Linked DNA regions of Canis lupus familiaris. The protein of the gene in region 1 purifies or fractionates together with the protein of each later gene. This does not show direct contact. Links are inferred from orthologs where the notes say so. Each region holds a gene or a part of one and is shown in the gene's direction. Other genes may lie near its edges.

Evidence for each region.
Region 2: the proteins of TUBA1C (region 1) and TXNDC9 purify together in Homo sapiens (co-immunoprecipitation; 3 studies listed by BioGRID and IntAct, counting the BioPlex papers as one, with this or other methods). This does not show direct contact. The link is inferred for Canis lupus familiaris from reciprocal best matches to the Homo sapiens genes TUBA1C and TXNDC9.
Region 3: the proteins of TUBA1C (region 1) and CCT6A purify together in Homo sapiens (affinity purification with mass spectrometry; 3 studies listed by BioGRID and IntAct, with this or other methods). This does not show direct contact. The link is inferred for Canis lupus familiaris from reciprocal best matches to the Homo sapiens genes TUBA1C and CCT6A.

Annotation. Positions count from the first base shown.
Region 1 is NC_049248.1:41,310,834-41,317,440, forward strand, and holds the end of TUBA1C (tubulin alpha-1C chain), read left to right. Parts: intron 1-1,256; coding exon 1,257-1,479; intron 1,480-1,623; coding exon 1,624-1,772; intron 1,773-3,921; coding exon 3,922-4,896; 3' UTR 4,897-5,007; downstream 5,008-6,607. UniProt on the Homo sapiens protein: Tubulin is the major constituent of microtubules, a cylinder consisting of laterally associated linear protofilaments composed of alpha- and beta-tubulin heterodimers.
Region 2 is NC_049231.1:44,393,175-44,399,121, forward strand, and holds part of TXNDC9 (thioredoxin domain-containing protein 9), read left to right. Parts: intron 1-812; 5' UTR 813-842; coding exon 843-1,031; intron 1,032-2,199; exon of another isoform or gene 2,200-2,374; intron 2,375-3,934; coding exon 3,935-4,053; intron 4,054-5,367; exon of another isoform or gene 5,368-5,887; intron 5,888-5,947. UniProt on the Homo sapiens protein: Significantly diminishes the chaperonin TCP1 complex ATPase activity, thus negatively impacts protein folding, including that of actin or tubulin.
Region 3 is NC_049227.1:460,887-466,833, forward strand, and holds part of CCT6A (T-complex protein 1 subunit zeta), read left to right. Parts: intron 1-643; coding exon 644-778; intron 779-1,289; exon of another isoform or gene 1,290-1,423; intron 1,424-1,527; coding exon 1,528-1,701; intron 1,702-2,194; coding exon 2,195-2,298; intron 2,299-2,910; coding exon 2,911-3,021; intron 3,022-3,305; coding exon 3,306-3,465; intron 3,466-3,557; coding exon 3,558-3,640; intron 3,641-4,572; coding exon 4,573-4,669; intron 4,670-4,998; coding exon 4,999-5,146; intron 5,147-5,191; exon of another isoform or gene 5,192-5,331; intron 5,332-5,796; coding exon 5,797-5,930; intron 5,931-5,947. UniProt on the Homo sapiens protein: Component of the chaperonin-containing T-complex (TRiC), a molecular chaperone complex that assists the folding of actin, tubulin and other proteins upon ATP hydrolysis.

The DNA of each region.
Region 1 (6,607 bases):
CACAGCCCTAGAGCTGGGCGAGCAGATGCAGGTAATGAGCCAGGTGATGTGGTCAGGAGACCATGGGTGTTTTATGAGGAGTGTAGGCGGGAAGGAGGGGATGAGAAGTCAAAGGTTGTGGGTGATTGGGATTTTTATTATCTCAGGTTATTAAACTAGGCCCTTTGAGATCTTTGAGTGGTGTTGAGTTTTCTCTAGTTTCCTGTTAGCAGCTTTAAAAAAACTTTGAAGCCCTCTTATTGGGAAAATGTGAAGGGAGATATTTGGTGTTAATATTTTGAAAGTCCTCTGTTGGTCTCCAAAGCTACTTACAATGAGATACAATAAACTCCCATTTTTCATTTTCCTCTTAAATCTGGGGGCATAGATTCTGTCTTCGTGGCCTTATTTTACTAGGCAGGAATGAGTTTGGTAACTTATAAATGATCTTGCTCATCAAGTAAAGGAAAACAAACATTTTCCCAATATCATTAAGTTCTTGACACCACAGAATTCTTCCCACAGTGCTAGAGATCTACGTATGTATGTTTGGGTAGGAAAACTAATTTCTTAAGCTATTACTCAGGTCTTCTGGCTTTTATTACCATCTGTCTCCAACCTTGCCTAATCAAGAGGTGTTGATAGTGAAGGAAGAATGTTCTTCCTTAAGGTTGAGTTCTTCCACGGGGCTAAAAAAGCTGCCTCTGACCACAGTTTTTAAAATACAGCTAACTGCTGCTTATCTGGCATTTTCTCCATGAGTCATATGGCTGTAGTTTGCTGGTTTAAGCTGGTTTTAGAGGGAGAGGGAGAAGCTCTTGTCTTTTAAAGAATAGGATTAAAGAGGGACCAGAATGAGCTCAACGGTTGCACAATCACACAGAATGAATCAGAGCTGGAAAGGGGGAATTTTGCATGACTTTAAGGAATCAGCAGGCATATTTCCCAGGAGCTGGGGGAAATGCATTGCTATAGAACTGGCTTAAGTCTTTCTAAAATGGGAGAAACCTGACCTTGAATATCTAATGTGACTACAAAGCAAGGGTCTGATCTCTGGTCTTGCCTAGTAGTTCATTAACATATCTTTGGTTTTGCAAAGCATTTTCTCTGAATTAGTCAGCAATGGCTGTTGCTTGTGAAATAAACCTTGGGCAGGAGTGACTTCCAGAAAGGTGATGATCTATCCTGAAGGTTAATTAGTCACTTAGGTATGAATCATTCCTGAATGTCCCATCTGATCTGTCATATTCTGACATTTTCCTTTCTTCTTGCCACAGCGTGAGTGCATCTCCATCCACGTTGGCCAGGCAGGTGTCCAGATCGGCAATGCCTGCTGGGAGCTCTATTGCCTGGAACACGGCATTCAGCCCGATGGCCAGATGCCAAGTGACAAGACCATTGGGGGAGGAGATGACTCCTTCAACACCTTCTTCAGTGAGACGGGCGCTGGCAAGCATGTGCCCAGGGCAGTGTTTGTAGACCTGGAGCCCACAGTCATTGGTGAGTTGGCCTCAGTAACCCAAGTGAGCTCCCGGGGCACTGGGGCAGGAGGTCTGTCTGAGGCTCCATTGACAGACAGCCTGGGGGTGAGCAGGGTCATGCAGGTTGTTAGTGATGGGTGGCCACCTTGTTTTCCTTTTCCAGATGAAGTTCGCACTGGCACCTACCGCCAGCTCTTCCACCCTGAGCAGCTCATCACAGGCAAGGAAGATGCTGCCAATAACTATGCCCGAGGGCACTACACCATTGGCAAGGAGATCATTGACCTTGTCTTGGACCGAATTCGGAAGCTGGTAAACATTGTTTTATTTAGAGTGGGATGAGAGTTTTCTCTTACAGCTTTAAGAGAGACCACACCAGAGGAGTCCTCCTTTCGCACACTAAAATGACCCTTTGAGTGCTTACGAGATTTTAAACCAGATGGTCCTGGGTTATGGGATAAGTATTTGGGGCAGAGTTAAGTGCTCCCTTGCCTATTTCTATGTCTTATAAGGCAGACTTGGCAATTGCTCAAGGAAGTTGGGGCAATTTACCTAAAGTCAAGGTGAGAACCAGAGAGCCTTTTAACAGTTGTATTGATATTTAAGACTATTAAACATCTTTGTTCATAATAATTAACTTCCCTGCTTCAAGTTCAGATGCCCCTGTTAGGTCCTCTTAGTCACATTGAATAGGTGGCAGACTGACATGTAACTAATCGATCAGACTCCAAAAAAACGGATTACGTTACATTTGGTGCCTTACATTAATACAGAAAGTTCAGAGCACAAGAAGCTAGTATAATGCTGACTAGAAATGGCACATGCTGGAAACTTCCAACCACAATGAAAGTGGAATCAAGAGAGCTCCCCTATTAGAGGCTAGTGTCAATCATTGAAACTTGGAAAGTATTGAAATATAATCACAGAAAACAGTCGACTTGCTTTTCCACTAGAGCTCAGGGCCATGTGGACTGGCACCGTGTCAGAAAAATCTTGGGCCACAGTATTCACATCAGTAAAGTTGATAAGTGTTTTGTTTGGATCATTTTAATTAAGTCTGGCAATCAGATGGCTCTTTGCTCCTCAGGCATGTGGGCAGCTTGTAAGTAATTAACCAAAAATTAAGAATAAAGGCTTGGGTAGAGTAGCTTGTCAGGAAAGTCACATTCTAAGCCTAGCCACAACTGGTCTAGTCTGAAAAGAATGGCCTTGCATCATTCACAACTTGAGACTTTTCCAGATGTTTATCATAGTTGTCCTAGCAAAATTGGGGTAATGGTTCCTATGTGTACAAATCAAGCTTCAGCTACGAGCACTGACTTGGAAATCAGGACCTGCCTTTAGGGACAAATAAACTGAGTAAAACCCATGAAGGGTTCTGGAGTAAAGCTGATTACCAAAACAATTGTATTTGTCCTTGGTGTTGTTACTGTGTCCATAGGACGCTTAGTGGATTTAATTGGTAGACTGGAGTCTGCCCTGTACATTGATCCCATTCAGAGTGTGGACCCACAGGAGAAGTAACTGAGCGATTGGTAGAGAATTCCACAAATCTCAGCACTTTCGAGAAGTGACGATTGTCAGCAGAAAAGTCAAGATTATCCTTTCTTAGAACAGCAGTTCGCTTATCAGAATGGCTCAGTTAAGTGGTGGAAAGCCCCAGGGACACTAGGTCTCGCAGGACTGCACGTTACCTTTTGCAGAATCAGTCAATAGGCTTTCTGCTGACTCCCATCGTTCTCGACAACCTGAGGTAGGTTACTATTCTAATTAATAAATGCGAAAACTGAGATTGAGAACTAAACTTGGTCAAAGTCACACAGCAAGGAACTGGTGGAGCCGGATCCAGACCCAGCCAGCCTCCAACACCAGGGCATTGGAACTCGGCTGTTCTCCTATTCCAGCTCAAAAAGTAGCCGCCAGAGTTTTATAAGACCTTTATTGTGTGGGGCTGGTGGTCTCGGGCCTGCCCTTGGTGGCTCTCCAACTGTGAGAAGTTACCCTTGTTCTGCAGTCACAGCAAGGGCACCAGAGGTTGCCTTTCTAGTTAACTAAAACTTTGGCCTTGCATCCATCCCAGACCTCACGATTCCTTTGTCTGCAGAAATGAAAATAGTTCATTTTCAAATAGCTGATATAGCAGATTTTCACCCCTAGGAATTGTGAAGTTTCTCTGAATTTTAGCACTTAGAAGCTCACTACTATCGCTTTCTTGGCAAATATTGTTCAGTCTTGTTTGGAAGATTAAAAAAGATCTCCATCGGGCACCTGGCTGGTTCGGTCAGAACATGTGACGCTTGATCCTCAAAGTCCTGAGTTTGAGCCTTACATTGGGTGTTGAGATTACTTAGATAAATAAAAAACCTAAAATTAAAAAAAAAAATCTCTACCAATATAATTACGGGTTCAGAGAGGTCCTTGCAGCTTTCACCAAGGCTAAAATTAACTTTTCTTTTTGCAGGCTGACCAGTGCACGGGTCTTCAGGGCTTCTTGGTTTTCCACAGCTTTGGCGGGGGAACCGGTTCTGGGTTCACCTCCCTGCTGATGGAACGTCTCTCTGTCGATTATGGCAAGAAGTCCAAGCTAGAGTTCTCCATCTACCCTGCCCCCCAGGTGTCCACAGCTGTCGTAGAGCCCTACAACTCCATCCTCACCACCCACACCACCCTGGAGCACTCTGATTGTGCCTTCATGGTAGACAATGAGGCCATCTATGACATCTGTCGTAGAAACCTCGATATTGAGCGCCCAACTTACACTAACCTTAACCGCCTTATTAGCCAGATTGTGTCCTCCATCACGGCTTCCCTCAGATTTGATGGAGCCCTGAATGTGGATCTGACGGAGTTCCAGACCAACCTGGTGCCCTATCCCCGCATCCACTTCCCTCTGGCCACATATGCCCCTGTCATCTCTGCTGAGAAAGCCTACCATGAACAGCTTACCGTAGCAGAGATCACCAATGCATGCTTTGAGCCAGCCAACCAGATGGTGAAATGTGACCCTCGCCATGGTAAATACATGGCTTGCTGCCTGTTGTACCGTGGTGATGTGGTTCCCAAAGATGTCAATGCTGCCATTGCCACCATCAAGACCAAGCGCAGCATCCAGTTTGTGGACTGGTGCCCCACTGGCTTCAAAGTGGGCATTAACTACCAGCCTCCCACTGTGGTACCCGGTGGAGACCTGGCCAAAGTACAGCGAGCTGTGTGCATGCTGAGCAACACCACAGCCATTGCTGAGGCCTGGGCTCGCCTGGACCACAAGTTTGACCTGATGTATGCCAAGCGTGCCTTTGTTCACTGGTATGTGGGTGAGGGCATGGAGGAAGGAGAGTTTTCTGAGGCCCGTGAGGACATGGCTGCCCTGGAGAAGGATTATGAGGAGGTTGGAGCGGATAGTGCTGAGGGAGAGGATGAGGGTGAAGAGTATTAACCTGTCCGCTACAATTTTACACTCCGTTGTCTTGGGACTGTCTTATTTCTGTTGTGGAAGCTGTCTGTTGTGGTCCTAACTTGTCAATAAAAGTGATGTTTCTATTTTAAATGTCAGGCTGGCTTCTGTATCACAGTAAATACTAGTCTGCTTATTTAAGGCCAACTGGGGATGGAGGAGGCTGGCAGGGGATCACCCAATCATTTGATCAACACTTCAAGTGGCTTCTTTGTGCCATGCACTGTGCTAAGTGGTTTGGCTGTTTCACTTAATTCCTGGATTGATGAGTGGTGATAAAATCCTATCATAAGTGAGGCAGCAAGCTGAGATTGGGCTCCTGCTTCTCAGACTTAAGTGTGGACATGAATCACATGTAGATAGTAAGATGTAGATCCAAATCTGTAGGTCTGAAGTGGAGCTTAGATCCTGCATTTTTTAGCAAACTTCCAGCTCGTGCTCTTGGTCTGCTGGGACTACATGTGAAGTAGCAAGAGGTTAGGTAACGCAGCTAGTAGATGGTGGAGCCAAGATTCAAGGAACCAGCCAGACTAGCAAAACTTGCCGTCGGGATTTAATAATGTTAGTCACGTGGGAAGGGGTTGGAATTGTGCTGATCTATTCCATACTTAGACAAAACCTACAATGGCAAATAAGACTGTACTTTAAGACATTACTGCTTGGAGAAAGTGGAGCTGGCTGAGACACAAAATTACAGTAGTCACAAGTTACGGTATTGGTACCTGACCCAGTTTAGGTCATGGGGAATATCTGTAGTAGGAAAAAGGAACATTGAATGATGTATGTGTAGGAAAGATTGGAGAGGGAAGATCCCCTAATTTAGACCCTCTTCCAAGTACATGTTAGAAGAAGTGTGGTTGTTGAGAGCAGGAGGGAGTGGAGGGTGGGGGAAGAGGCATGCATCAGTGGCTGCACAGCGTGGTGATGGGTACTCAGGTACCAGTTGTGTGGCCCATAAGGATGAATAAAGCAAAGGGAAAGGGCTGAGCCTCAGGCAGAAGGGAGGAACCAATTTCGGTGCCTGGGTACCAGCCTGAGAGGGAATGCCAAACAGGCGGCAGGAGATGGGGACCGACCGGTACAGAGTTGCAGATGTGTTCACCTTTGCTCCATGACTGACTGTATTCCACTGAGGCTCAGTTCCCTTCTTTCTTTTCCCACTGGTATTTTCACCCCTGACTCTGAGGAAATCATCTAAAAAAACATGCATGTTCCATCTGGGAGCACAGCATTGCTTCCTGCCCAAGATATTTCAATTTCGTGCTCCCAGAGGGTCTTCAGCTTTAGCTTTCATCATTAGAGCAGCCAAGGTTTTAAAAGCCCTTCAGGGCAAGGCCCAGCCCTGACCCGTCCTTGAGCACCAAGGCAGCAATTGCTACTTATCAGATGGGCCAGATTCCTCCTGCCAGACTGTGGGGGGGGGGGGGGGGGGGGGGGTCTGGGATGAAAATGAACCTTGGAAAGGCCAGGCAGCCCAGCCACGGAGAGGCACCTGGAGATTTTCCCAATTTGAAAGATCTGCCAATCACCACAGTTGGAGCCCTGGAGGAAACTGGATGCTCATATGCGAGAAGAAGCAGATACATCATCCAGCTTCAGCTGAGCGTGACCCCTCATGGTACCTGAGAGGTCCATTCTCTAAACCAGCATGTTCCAAGCACAGTGCCCGAGAATGGGGTTTAGGGGTTGCCAA
Region 2 (5,947 bases), on another chromosome or scaffold:
CAACTCTGTTCTATACTGAAGCAAAGTTTGTTTTGTAGATGTATATGTAAAACCTCACTGCACTTAAACTTTACCACATCATTATTCAGTCGTTCCTGCTTTATTTCTCTTCTGGTTTAAACAAAGAAGCACTATCAATTTATGTCACTAGGTAGAACTCCAACTACTCATTACTCTCTGGTCTTAAAGACTTGTTTTTGCTTTGTTGTAGTGAAGCACAAACTAAATCAGAAGCACCTAACCTTTGTTCTAAGTAATATTTGAGTGGTGTGACTATAACCTATTGAAAATTCAATTTTAAAAGATTTCAATAAGGGATGTCTTGGTGGCTTAGTCAGTTAAAACGTCCAACTCTTGATTTCAGCCCAGGTTTATGATCCCAGGATTGTGAGACAGAGCCCTGAGTCGGGCTCTCACCGAACACACAGCCTGCTTAATATTCTCCCTCTCTGCCATCCCCTCCCCTCCCTCCCTCAATCAATCAATCAATAAAAACATTTAAGTAAAAATTCTTTTTTTTTTTAAGATTTAATTTATTAGAGACAGAGAGGCAGAGGGAGAAGCAGGCTCCATGCAGGGAGACCGATGTGGGACTCAATCCCCGGTCTCTAGGATCACGCGTGGGCTGAAGGCAGCACCAAACCGCTAAGCCACCAGGGCTGCCTTAAGTAAAAATTCTTAAGTGTAACACAAAATGTTTGGTTGTCAGAACTCTTTGTAGAGTACAAATTATACACTTGCTAGAATTTTTTAAAATGAGAGAAGAAACTTTACCTTTTTTCTCCCCCCAACTTTGCAAACTTTCTCCCTAGCACCAAGGCTGAACTGTACCATTTAGAAGAATGGAAGCTAATGCATCTGTTGACATGTTTTCAAAAGTCCTGGAAAATCAATTGCTTCAGACCACCAAACTAGTAGAAGAACATTTGGATTCTGAAATTCAGAAACTGGATCAGATGGACGAGGATGAATTGGAACGCCTCAAAGAAAAGAGACTTGAGGCGTTAAGGAAAGCTCAACAGCAGAAACAAGTAACCTCTCTGCCCTGCTTTCTGAAATTACTTTAACAGTATGCTCCTAACAACTTATATATACATGTGCTGAAGTACTTTTATATTTCAGTCCTCATTTCTAGAGTTGTTTTCATTTTTTGCTTCAGAGTACTATCACTGTTAAAAATGTGCTGGGAAAAAAAATAGTTTTAAAGCGCATTAAAAATTAGTTTGTTCAGTATGTTAATCTACAGTCGAGTAAAAGAAACATGCACCCAAGATCGTGTTTTGAGCTCAGATTGGTTGGTTGAGGAGAGAGTGGCCTAGGTAGAGCATAGGAAGCACTGTCAGTGGTTTTCCTTTTAGGTGATTAATTGTAAAGCCAGTTATAATTTAGCTGTACTCATTGTAAGTGAGGCGAGAGCTGTAAGGCCATTGACATGGTGGAAATTATTTCAGGCATTTCCATTGTAACATTTACATGGCTTATTTGTTCAAAAGAATGCATGCTGGGTCACCAAAGAAGGGTGGCCACAACTCTATTCTTGTTGGTCTCTTAGAGTATGAGTGTGGAAAAGACTCTAATCAAAACATTGGGTTAAATTCTGTTTTTGATTTAAAAATGTTTGCATTGCTTTATGTTACACTGTAATAGATTATTATCAGTTCTTATTCCTCTTCAGTTGGCTGTGAATAAAAAAACTTTCTAACTTTTCTAAAGAAACAGGGCTTCTTTGTGCTCCCTGTAGCATCTGTTTGATAATGTTTATACTCGGTATTTATAAGAATTGCTAAAAGGAAAGAATCGTCTATAGTGTGCCTGAGTTTCTATTTTTATATCTTGAGTTTTCTAGAATAGGGGTTGTGTGTGTGTCTATATATGGTTTTGAAGCCAGGAGACTTTTTTAAATATAATGCTAATAATTAAGGTAATGTATGATGAGATTCTGCTACAAACTCCTATTTCATGATCACAGTTAAGTAACACTACTTAATAGGCCTGTGCCAATCAATATTCCTCAACCAAGTACCCTCTTACTGTTATGGCAGCTTGTGACATAGGACTTAGGTAGTGAGCAGAAGGACAGGTGAGATATAGGAAGAGCCTATCCAAAAGCTTGGGTTATAGCCACTAAGTGAGAGCTAGATGCTCAGCTGCCAGCCCTTGGGTAGCTTCAGTCTGCACTGTGATCTCTGCTCATCCTGCTAAATTCCATTCGGCAGATGCCCTGTGGAGCATGAACTCTTTTTTTTTTTTTTTTTTGCATGAACTCTTTAAAAGAGTACAGGGGTGTGCTGAGTGTCTTGGGAAAGATGCCCTGTGTTGGAGGTTCAGAGTAGGCTTGCCTCCGAGGGAACTTCAAAAGGTTCAAGTTTTCCACCTGTTGGTTAAACATATGAGAATTAATAAAAAGAGCTTTTTAAAAAACAAAGAAACACTTTTTTTTTTTTAAGGGTAATGTTATTAGTAAGTCAAGAAAAGTCATGAAATATTACATGCCATTAACGAATTGTATTTGAGAGTTTAAATTGTTTATAAAAGCTTGACCAAAGAAATGTCACATAAGGAGAAAACACCAGGGCTTCCTGTGAGCATCAGCTTAGCATAAGTCCATGTGAAAGGGATTCCAAAGTTCTTAATACAGCCTGTATTAGCTTAAGTCCAGAGGAAGAAAGGAGATGGCACTCCTGCCACCTTCTCAGTGGACCATTTCTGGAGGGCTGCCTATAGACTTCTGAAACCTTTTAAAGGGAAAGTGGGAAATTAGTTCAGAGGAGGATAATCAATAAGAGTAAGAGATGTAAAAAAAAAAAAAAAAGAGTAAGAGATGTAGCAATCATTTCATACGAGAAACGGCCAAAAGAAAATGGAGAGGTAGAAAAGAAAGGACATAGGTGAGACAGAATGTCTGAAGGGCTAACATATAAAAGACATTAGAACTTTTCTCTCTAATCTTAGGTCCAAGCTGGCATCCACAGACCAAAGTTACAGATATATTGCAGTTCAGTGTGAGAAGACCCTTCAAAAAATGAGAGAGTATACATGCAACTGGTTTTGAAGCACCTGTGCCAGACACTGTTAGAGATATTTTCATGTAGACAGTCTTACTTTCACAATTCAGTGAGATAGTTGCTTTGTGATCTCCACTTTACAAATGAGGAAATGGAGACTCAAAAGACTATTAAAATTCTTAGCCTAATAAGTGGTAGAATAATTACTCAAACCCATGCCTTCTACCTGCAAGCCCAATGCTCTTTTTATTAAAACCAGCTGCCTAAAAAAAAGGAAGCAAGCTTCCAATTGAGATGATGAACCTTTCCAGTAGCAGGAAGCTTGAGAATCAAAGGTCTGTCAGGCATGGTTGGTACATTGGGTTGAGAAGTTGAGTTAGATGACTCATGGGATCTGTATTGTTTCTGGACATCATGTGAGAAGACAATATTTTCTTCCTATGATACTATCCCATTGGTGGCCAGAATAGAAGCTCCTACTGCTCTGAGCAAACAGGGCTTTTGAGCTGCAGAGCTGCAGTAACCAACCCCCCTTCTCCCCTACAAAGACCAAGTAGCTTTATCTGATGAGCATAATTTTTCAAAGCTTTGCAGTAACTTAGACCTAATGCTTCTGACTTTAGTTGAGTGCAGAGAAATTAAATGGATATTTACATTTTAAGTCTCCTGAATCTAAATTTTTAAAGTTCTAAGAAAACATGTATGAAGTTACCATGGATTGTCTTAAACACAAACCATGCTGAGAGATAGTCCCTGCTCAGAGACTGTTTGCACTTGACAGTAGAGGCATAGGAGAGTAAATAAGAGGAATTGATTTCTCTACAAGATAAAATCAACTTCATTACAGGATATTATAGTGATTTAGAGACAAAATGTAAAGTACTGAAAAATATGTCAAGTATGTAATATTTCCCTTTTCTCCAAATTAGGAATGGCTTTCAAAAGGACATGGGGAATACAGAGAAATCCCTAGTGAGAGAGACTTTTTTCAAGAAGTCAAGGAGAGTAAAAAAGTGGTTTGCCATTTCTACAGAGACTCCACATTCAGGTAACTTTGTTTCCACCAGTGAGTTGTTTAAAATGATGAGATCTTTGAGTAGAAATACACTAATTTAATAGAAAATTTTCAGAAATTAGAGGGACTACTTTTTAAGTTGTTTCTTGGTACTTCTGTAAAAGTCTGTTAAACAGTTGCTATGTTGAAGATTAACTTAAAACCCATTACACTCTTTCTCAGCATGCAGCTCATGGGGAGACCATAGTTTGGCCAAGCCTTTCATTAGAAGCATCGTTGGGAGTGCCAGACTTGGCTGGAGGAGAGGAAAGTGATTTCTTTTGGATAGCCCAGATCTACAAGCCTCTCTATGGAGGCAGAGTCCTTGTAAAATAAAAATACCCCTAGAAAAGGTTATATCTTAACTCAACCCTTTCTTTAACTCTCAAATTTGATTAGTTGCCAACTTTGAAAAATTGAGAGATACAATTAAAAAAAAAATCCAGATTTCAGATTTTTTAAAAAATCAAATAACTTAATAGGAGGCCTAGAATTCAGTAGGAAAGCAGTTTGCTGATACTGAATAGTAGCTGCCTCCCTAGACAGACACATATTCCAGTGTAGAGTCTCCATCATTCACTGTTGTCTCCACCCTGCCCTCTCCTCCCATTTCCATAACCTGCTCAGCCTTTGTCTTTAACTCACCATCCAGTAACATGGTTACTAATTAACATCTTTCAAGGATTGCCTGCCTGAGATTTACTGATTAAGGTAATATAAATGAAAGAAGAAAAAACAATTTAAAAAAAATTTTTTTTAAATGAAAGAAAATGTTGAGATGGTGAAATCCCTGTAAAGGAAGGTATGGGAATGGATTAGGAAAGAAAAGGGTAGGGGCAGCCTGGGTGGCTCAGCAGTTTAGCGCCGTCTTCAGTCCAGGGCCTGATCCTGGAGACCCAGGATCGAGTCCCACGTCAGGGTCCCCGCATGGAGCCTGCTTCTCCCTCTGCCTCTCCCCTACCCCCCCAATGAATAAATAAATCTTTAAAAGGGAAGAAAAGGGTATTAGAGAAACCCTCTGTCACTGTGGTACTCTATCCTCTCCTATTGGCACACATTTCTCAAGTTGCCAACTTCTGACATACATGGTGAGGTGATACGTTACTATTAGTCTCTAAGATTGATACCATTTGATGTTTATTAGATGTTTTTGACCACTAGATTGTTTTGTGACAGCAGAGAATTTGCCTGTATCATGGTTCACCATGCTCCCAGGAGCAGCAATGGCTGACACATAGTAGGTGCTCAGTAAATATATTTGATGGATGTATAAACAGTGCAAAACAGTGCAACTCCAGGAATACTTACCTTCAAGCAAAAATGAAAACTCAAGAGGTACCTGGCTGGCTCAGCCAGTAGAACATCTGACTCTTGAGCCCCTTGTTGGGTATAGGGATTGCTTAAAAAATAGAAAAAAGGAAAACAAAAAAAATCATTAGAAAATTTCATATACAATTCTAATACAGATTTCAGAATTCTTGGCATATAGTAGACTGGATATTCCGTGTATAAAACCCTGGAACAGGGCAGCCCGGGTGGCTCAGCAGTTTAGCACTACCTTCAGCCCAGGGTGTGATCCTGGAGTCCTGGGATCAAGTCCCACATTGGGCTCCCTGCATGGAGCCTGCTTCTTCCTCTGCCTGTGTCTCTGCCTCTCTCTCTGTGTCTCTCATGACTGAATAAATAAATAATTACATCTTTTAATTATTGTGGTGGGGAGAGGATGATCCTGGGAACTGGGGAATTTCTCCCCCTTCAGAATCCAACCATCAAACACCTTCCAACAGAAAACACAGACATAGATGATCATTTCCATCAACTCCAGAAGTCACAGGTATATTGCAAAGGGAGGAAGTTATCTAGCAATGAGCCTGCAGCCTAAAGTGAA
Region 3 (5,947 bases), on another chromosome or scaffold:
ATCTACAAATTTAAATGAGATAGTTTGCAAAATATCTGGCCTAGATTCTTAAACTGTCAGTTTCCCTAAAAACAAAAGGTTGTGGAACTCTTCTGGATTACAGGAGAATAAGGAGATTTAAAAACTAAAAACAGTTCGGGAGCATTGTTTGGCATACAGTGCATATCCTGTTCTTAAAAACCTCTCAGTGATTTAGCTGTCACTAGTGATCTTTGCTCTAAAAGAGAACTTTTTTCTTTTTATTTTTTTATTCAATTCCAAGTAATACTGGAGGCTGCTGGGGTTTAATTTTAGAAGGAACCTGGTTTATTCTCCCAAGAGTCCTAAAGAAGCATGCATGGATTTGAAATTATTTCTTACTGTTAATTCTGTTACCTTCAGTAGACCTTAACAGTAAGCCTCAGATTTCCTCATCAGTAAAGTGGAGATAATCTTCTCAAATCTATATGTAAAAATATTTGGGTTATCATAAATTGATATACAAAATAGTTAATAGTGAGTTTTAAATCAGCATGGTATATAGCTGAACACTTGGGCAGTTTATGCAAATCGATGCATTTAAGGAGACCCTTCACATGCTTTAAAGTATATTTGGAGTATTTTCACTGAAGTAATTCTTTTTTTTCTTTTTTTCCACTTTCAGCAAATTCAACACCCAACAGCCTCCCTAATAGCCAAAGTAGCAACAGCCCAGGATGACATAACTGGTGATGGTACCACATCCAATGTCCTAATCATTGGAGAGCTACTGAAACAGGCGGATCTCTACATTTCTGAAGTATACATGATTCTTGTGTTGCCGGAAATTTCTATAAATTGAGGTGTTAATAGTAGCTGAGGCCAGATAGTACAAGGTAAAGAGTAGGGGGCTTAAATCTAGGAACCAGAGCCTATATCCTGGTCTTAATACAAGTTTATTGTGATCCTGGACAGATTAAGGAAACTTCCTTGGCCTGCAGAGGTTTTTTTGGTCAAGTTGTATTACATATTATTTATTTACATATGTCTGTAACAGCTTATTAGTTGAGATCTAGAAACAGGATGTTCAGGAGTAGGCATATTTATAAGGAAAACCAACTAAAACAAGTTTAATTAAGAATTACAGAATATTTTTAGCCTTGAGTAGTTTGAAGATTAAAGCAAACCTCAGTAGTGATCCAATTCTAAGAAAATCTTGGGCAGAGAGAAAAGGCAGACCCTTTGCCTCTGTTTTGTTAGTAATTGATGTAAATTGAAAAGATAAATGGTCCTATTGAGTACAGTTTTGAGTTTTAGACGTTCCCTGTGGTCTGCACAGTGAACACCCAAGTGTACTTTATAGTTCCCTTGGCTTTGATTCTGTGCTAGAGCAATGTCTGTTCTTTTCCTCTGCATTGAAAGGACTATTTATCCTTTTAAATGTATTCAAAAAGTCAGCACATTATATTCAAGCATGTGAATAATCTAGAATATTCCTTTAAAACTTACTTTAACATCTGATTGAAGAATTCCAGTGTTAGTGGTGATTATGTGATTGTATGTTTATAGGGTCTTCATCCCAGAATAATAACAGAAGGATTTGAAGCTGCAAAGGAAAAGGCACTTCAGTTTTTGGAACAAGTCAAAGTAAGCAAAGAAATGGACAGGGAAACACTTATAGATGTGGCCAGAACATCTCTACGTACAAAAGTGCATGCTGAACTTGCTGATGTCTTAACAGAGGTATGTTAAGTGTGGTATGTGTCTGGTAGTATACACCTATACTAAAAACCCCTGGTGTATTTTCTAGTTGGAATTGCAAGGTGCTATCTAAAACCTTCACAGTATCATGCCATGTGAAATAGTTTTTTTTTGTGGCAAAGAGCAGCAGATTTGTGTTCCTAAAATAATAGTATACCTGACCGTGTTATGAAAATACAATTGGAGCTTTCATTAAAGATTAATAAAATTGAGATTTCATTATAAAAAGGTTCATTGATATTTTTAATAGAATAGTAGGGATGTCCGTGATTCTTTATACATAATTATAAGTTGAGATGTCAGAAACGTAAATGATTTCAATCCTTTACAAATAATGTATTCTGTTACCTCGAAGAAAAAGGCTTAGGTCAATTCAGAGATTTTTAAAGAAAAGTGAACTTCTCTGAAGAAAAGCAACGTAAGCATGTGGACTTCTGCAAATCAAGATCATTTAATGGTTATGCTCTCATTGTAGGCTGTAGTGGACTCGATTTTGGCCATTAAAAAACCAGATGAACCTATTGATCTCTTCATGGTTGAAATCATGGAGATGAAACATAAATCTGAAACTGATACAAGGTAGGTGATAGGATGCTATGAAATATTTACACAATGTGTTTACAAATTTATAGGCACTTTATACAGTACATGTTTTTTGGCTGATTTCCTTTTCTTTGAATTTGTGTGTATTGCCTAAATGAATATTTAGTTTGCTCAATTGTGTTTCATCTTGAAGTTACTAATGATGTGCTTATAGTCAGAATGACTGTAAAAAAATGAGCTATGTCAGTGATTTATTGAACTGTGGGTTACAAAGCATAATAGACTATTGGGAAATTTCTAAAATATATATTCCATTTTAAAAACATAGTTCAAAAGTCATTTTAAAAGGAGGTGATCACAATTTGAGAGGCTACCAGTTGCAGCTGCCTCTCTGCAGAATTTTCTGTACAAGATAAGAGTTACTACTTTTATTTTGAATGGCTTGTTTTTGTACTGTGTTCTGGATATTGCTTTTTCATAATCGAACCTGCCTAGGTTTCATCCAAACAGTCTTTTTCAAAGACTCAAGTAATAAAGTCATGTGAAAATTATTAATGCAGCTTCAATTCAGTTATGTGAATTTTGTTAGTATATATTATGTATCATTTGGAAATCAATAACGAAACAATTTGTTACGTGTTTCAACAGCTTAATCAGAGGTCTTGTTTTGGACCATGGGGCACGGCATCCTGATATGAAAAAAAGAGTAGAAGATGCATACATCCTCACATGCAATGTGTCCTTAGAGTATGAAAAAACGTGAGTTTACAGGCCATACAAATGGAATAGGGAGGTGGAGGAGCTTGGTACTTTGGGCAAGTCACTTTGAGATTTAAGTTTCACCACTGCAAGGACACTAACGCCTCAGTTGGGTTCGGGTGAATTAAAGGAAGTAACCTTTGAAAACATACCAGGGGCAGGATTGGAACTCAGTGGCTGTCTGTTAAGTCTCAAGACTAACACAGTTTCTGAGGCTGCTGGTTTATCTCCTTAAAAAATAAACATTGTCCTTCCTCCCCCATAACTTTTTTTTTTTTAAATAGAGAAGTGAATTCTGGGTTTTTTTACAAGAGTGCAGAAGAGAGAGAGAAACTCGTAAAAGCTGAAAGAAAATTCATTGAAGATAGAGTTAAAAAAATAATAGAACTGAAAAAGAAAGTCTGTGGTGATTCAGATAAAGGATTTGTTGTTATTAATCAAAAGGTGAGAATGAAATTTTGCTTCATAAATGAGTCTGTATTGTGCATTGCTATTTTTAAGATGACTTCTATTGTAACGAACTGTTTTTGTTGTAGGGAATCGACCCCTTTTCCTTAGATGCTCTTGCGAAAGAAGGCATAGTAGCTCTACGTAGAGCTAAAAGGAGAAATATGGAAAGGTATGGATAACATATTACCTTAGATATGTAAATTTTTACTTAGTTTGTAAGTTACGTGGAATTACTACTTTTTCTTGTTCCTACTAAGTTTTTCCTTTTTTATTGTGAATGAAAAATATATATAATTTATTATTTGGCTTATCTTTTCAGATGTACAATCCAGTGGCATTAGGTTTCATTCACGTTATTGTGCAACAACCATCATCATTCATCTCCAGAACTTTTTCTTTTTTTTTTTTTTATCTTCCCAAACTGAAATTCTCTCATGAATGAAACAATAACTTTCTCTTTCTTTTCCCTCCCCCTAGTAAATACTTTTCTACTTTGCCTTTATGATATTGGTACCTTATATAAGGGAATCATGCAGTATTTGTCCTGTTGTGTGGCTTATTTTATTTAGCATGTTTTCAGAGTTCATCCATGTTGTAACATGTATTAGAATGTTGTTCTTGTTAAGGATGAATAATATTCCATTTGTATGGATATATCTATCACCTTTTCATTTATCAGTGGACATTTAGGTTTCTCCCTTTTGGCTGTTGTGGATAATGCTGTGAACATTGGTGTATGCTTTAGTTTTAAACCATGACATGTATATGTACATTTACTATGTCAAGAGACAGCATCAAGGGGTTTCAAAGAACTGCTTTTTCCCCCAGAGCTCACCACGGTAAAGAATTCTTGTTTTATTTATAGATTTCTTATCAGAAGAGTATTTGTGGACTTTGAAAGAGTGGGTTAAATGTCAAGTTAGGATAAAAGATGGTTTTTAACTTGGTGGTGGTGAATTTGAAGGTTTGAGTTAAAATAACATTTTGGCATATTTAATTTTAGTGTGTAATTCTGAAAGATTGCTTCCTAAAAATTATTAATCTCTTTAAACATAACAAAGCTACTTAATATGTCTCCTTTAAAATACTTCAATATTTCAGGCTGACTCTTGCTTGTGGTGGAGTAGCTCTAAATTCTTTCGATGACCTAAATCCTGATTGTTTGGGACATGCAGGACTTGTCTATGAGTATACGTTGGTAAGTGTATTTCTTTTCTGAAGATAATATGATAATGTTCTTTGGTTCTTGAATTCTTCGGTAGTAAAAAAAAATTCATTCAAACCTAGGATCATATTCTTGCTTTGTTTACATACATTTTGAAGGTTATGTGTAGTAATGATAAGGCATTGATGGGGAAAATCACATTGCTTTTATATGTGACCTTTTTTTATGAAGTAATTTGCTTTAATGTGATGGGTATGTTGTTCCCTTTTTAATATGTTACTTACTCTTTTATAAGCTCCTCTAGTCGTTCCCAGTCTTGGTACAAACATACCCTATTTTGAAAATACCTCTTTTTCACATAGGGAGAAGAGAAATTCACTTTCATTGAGAAGTGTAACAATCCTCGCTCTGTCACATTATTGATCAAAGGACCAAATAAGCACACACTCACTCAAATCAAAGATGCAATAAGAGATGGCTTGAGGGCTGTTAAAAATGCTATTGATGATGGTAAGATGCTTACTGTGTTTATATTCTTTTACAAGTATAAAAAAAGCATGGCTGAATACTGTGTTCTTTTTATCAGTAGTTTACACAGCCAGACACCATGCAAAAGTAAAGTGTTCCCTTTAAAATGCCTCTAATGGTGTGCTAAGCTTTTTCATAGCATATCATTTTTAAAAGTGAATACAAGTAGGTAACCTGGGTGACTCAGTGGTTAACTGTCTGCCTTTGGCTCAGGGCGCAATCCTGGAGTTCAGGGATCAAATCCCACATTGGGCTCCCTAAGGGGAACCTGCTTCTCCCTCTACCTAGGTCTCTTGTCTCTCTCTCTCTCTCTGTCTCATAAATAAATAAAATCTTTTTTAAAAAAAGTGATAGAAGAAAATGAACTAATAGTAACCTTCCAAGTACTAGTTAAATTGAAGCATTTTGCTATTTAATGTTTTTCTTCCAGAGAAATCTATATTTCTAATATATAATATTTTAGAAATATAATGTGTTGCTTATAGTGTTTTCAAATGCAATATTGTGGCTATTCCACATTCTCAAGAAATTAATGCTTTTTATGTTTGTGTTTTATGTATTTTCTTAATGATTCCACAGTTTTATTTTCTTCGTAGTTGATCATTTCTCTCCTTCCTTCCCACCCCCAACAGGCTGTGTAGTTCCGGGTGCGGGTGCAGTGGAAGTGGCAATGGCAGAAGCCTTGATTAAATATAAGCCCAGTGTAAAGGGGAGGGCCCAGCTGGGAGTTCAAGCATTTGCTGATGCATTGCTCATTATTCCCAAGGTATGACTACTTTAACA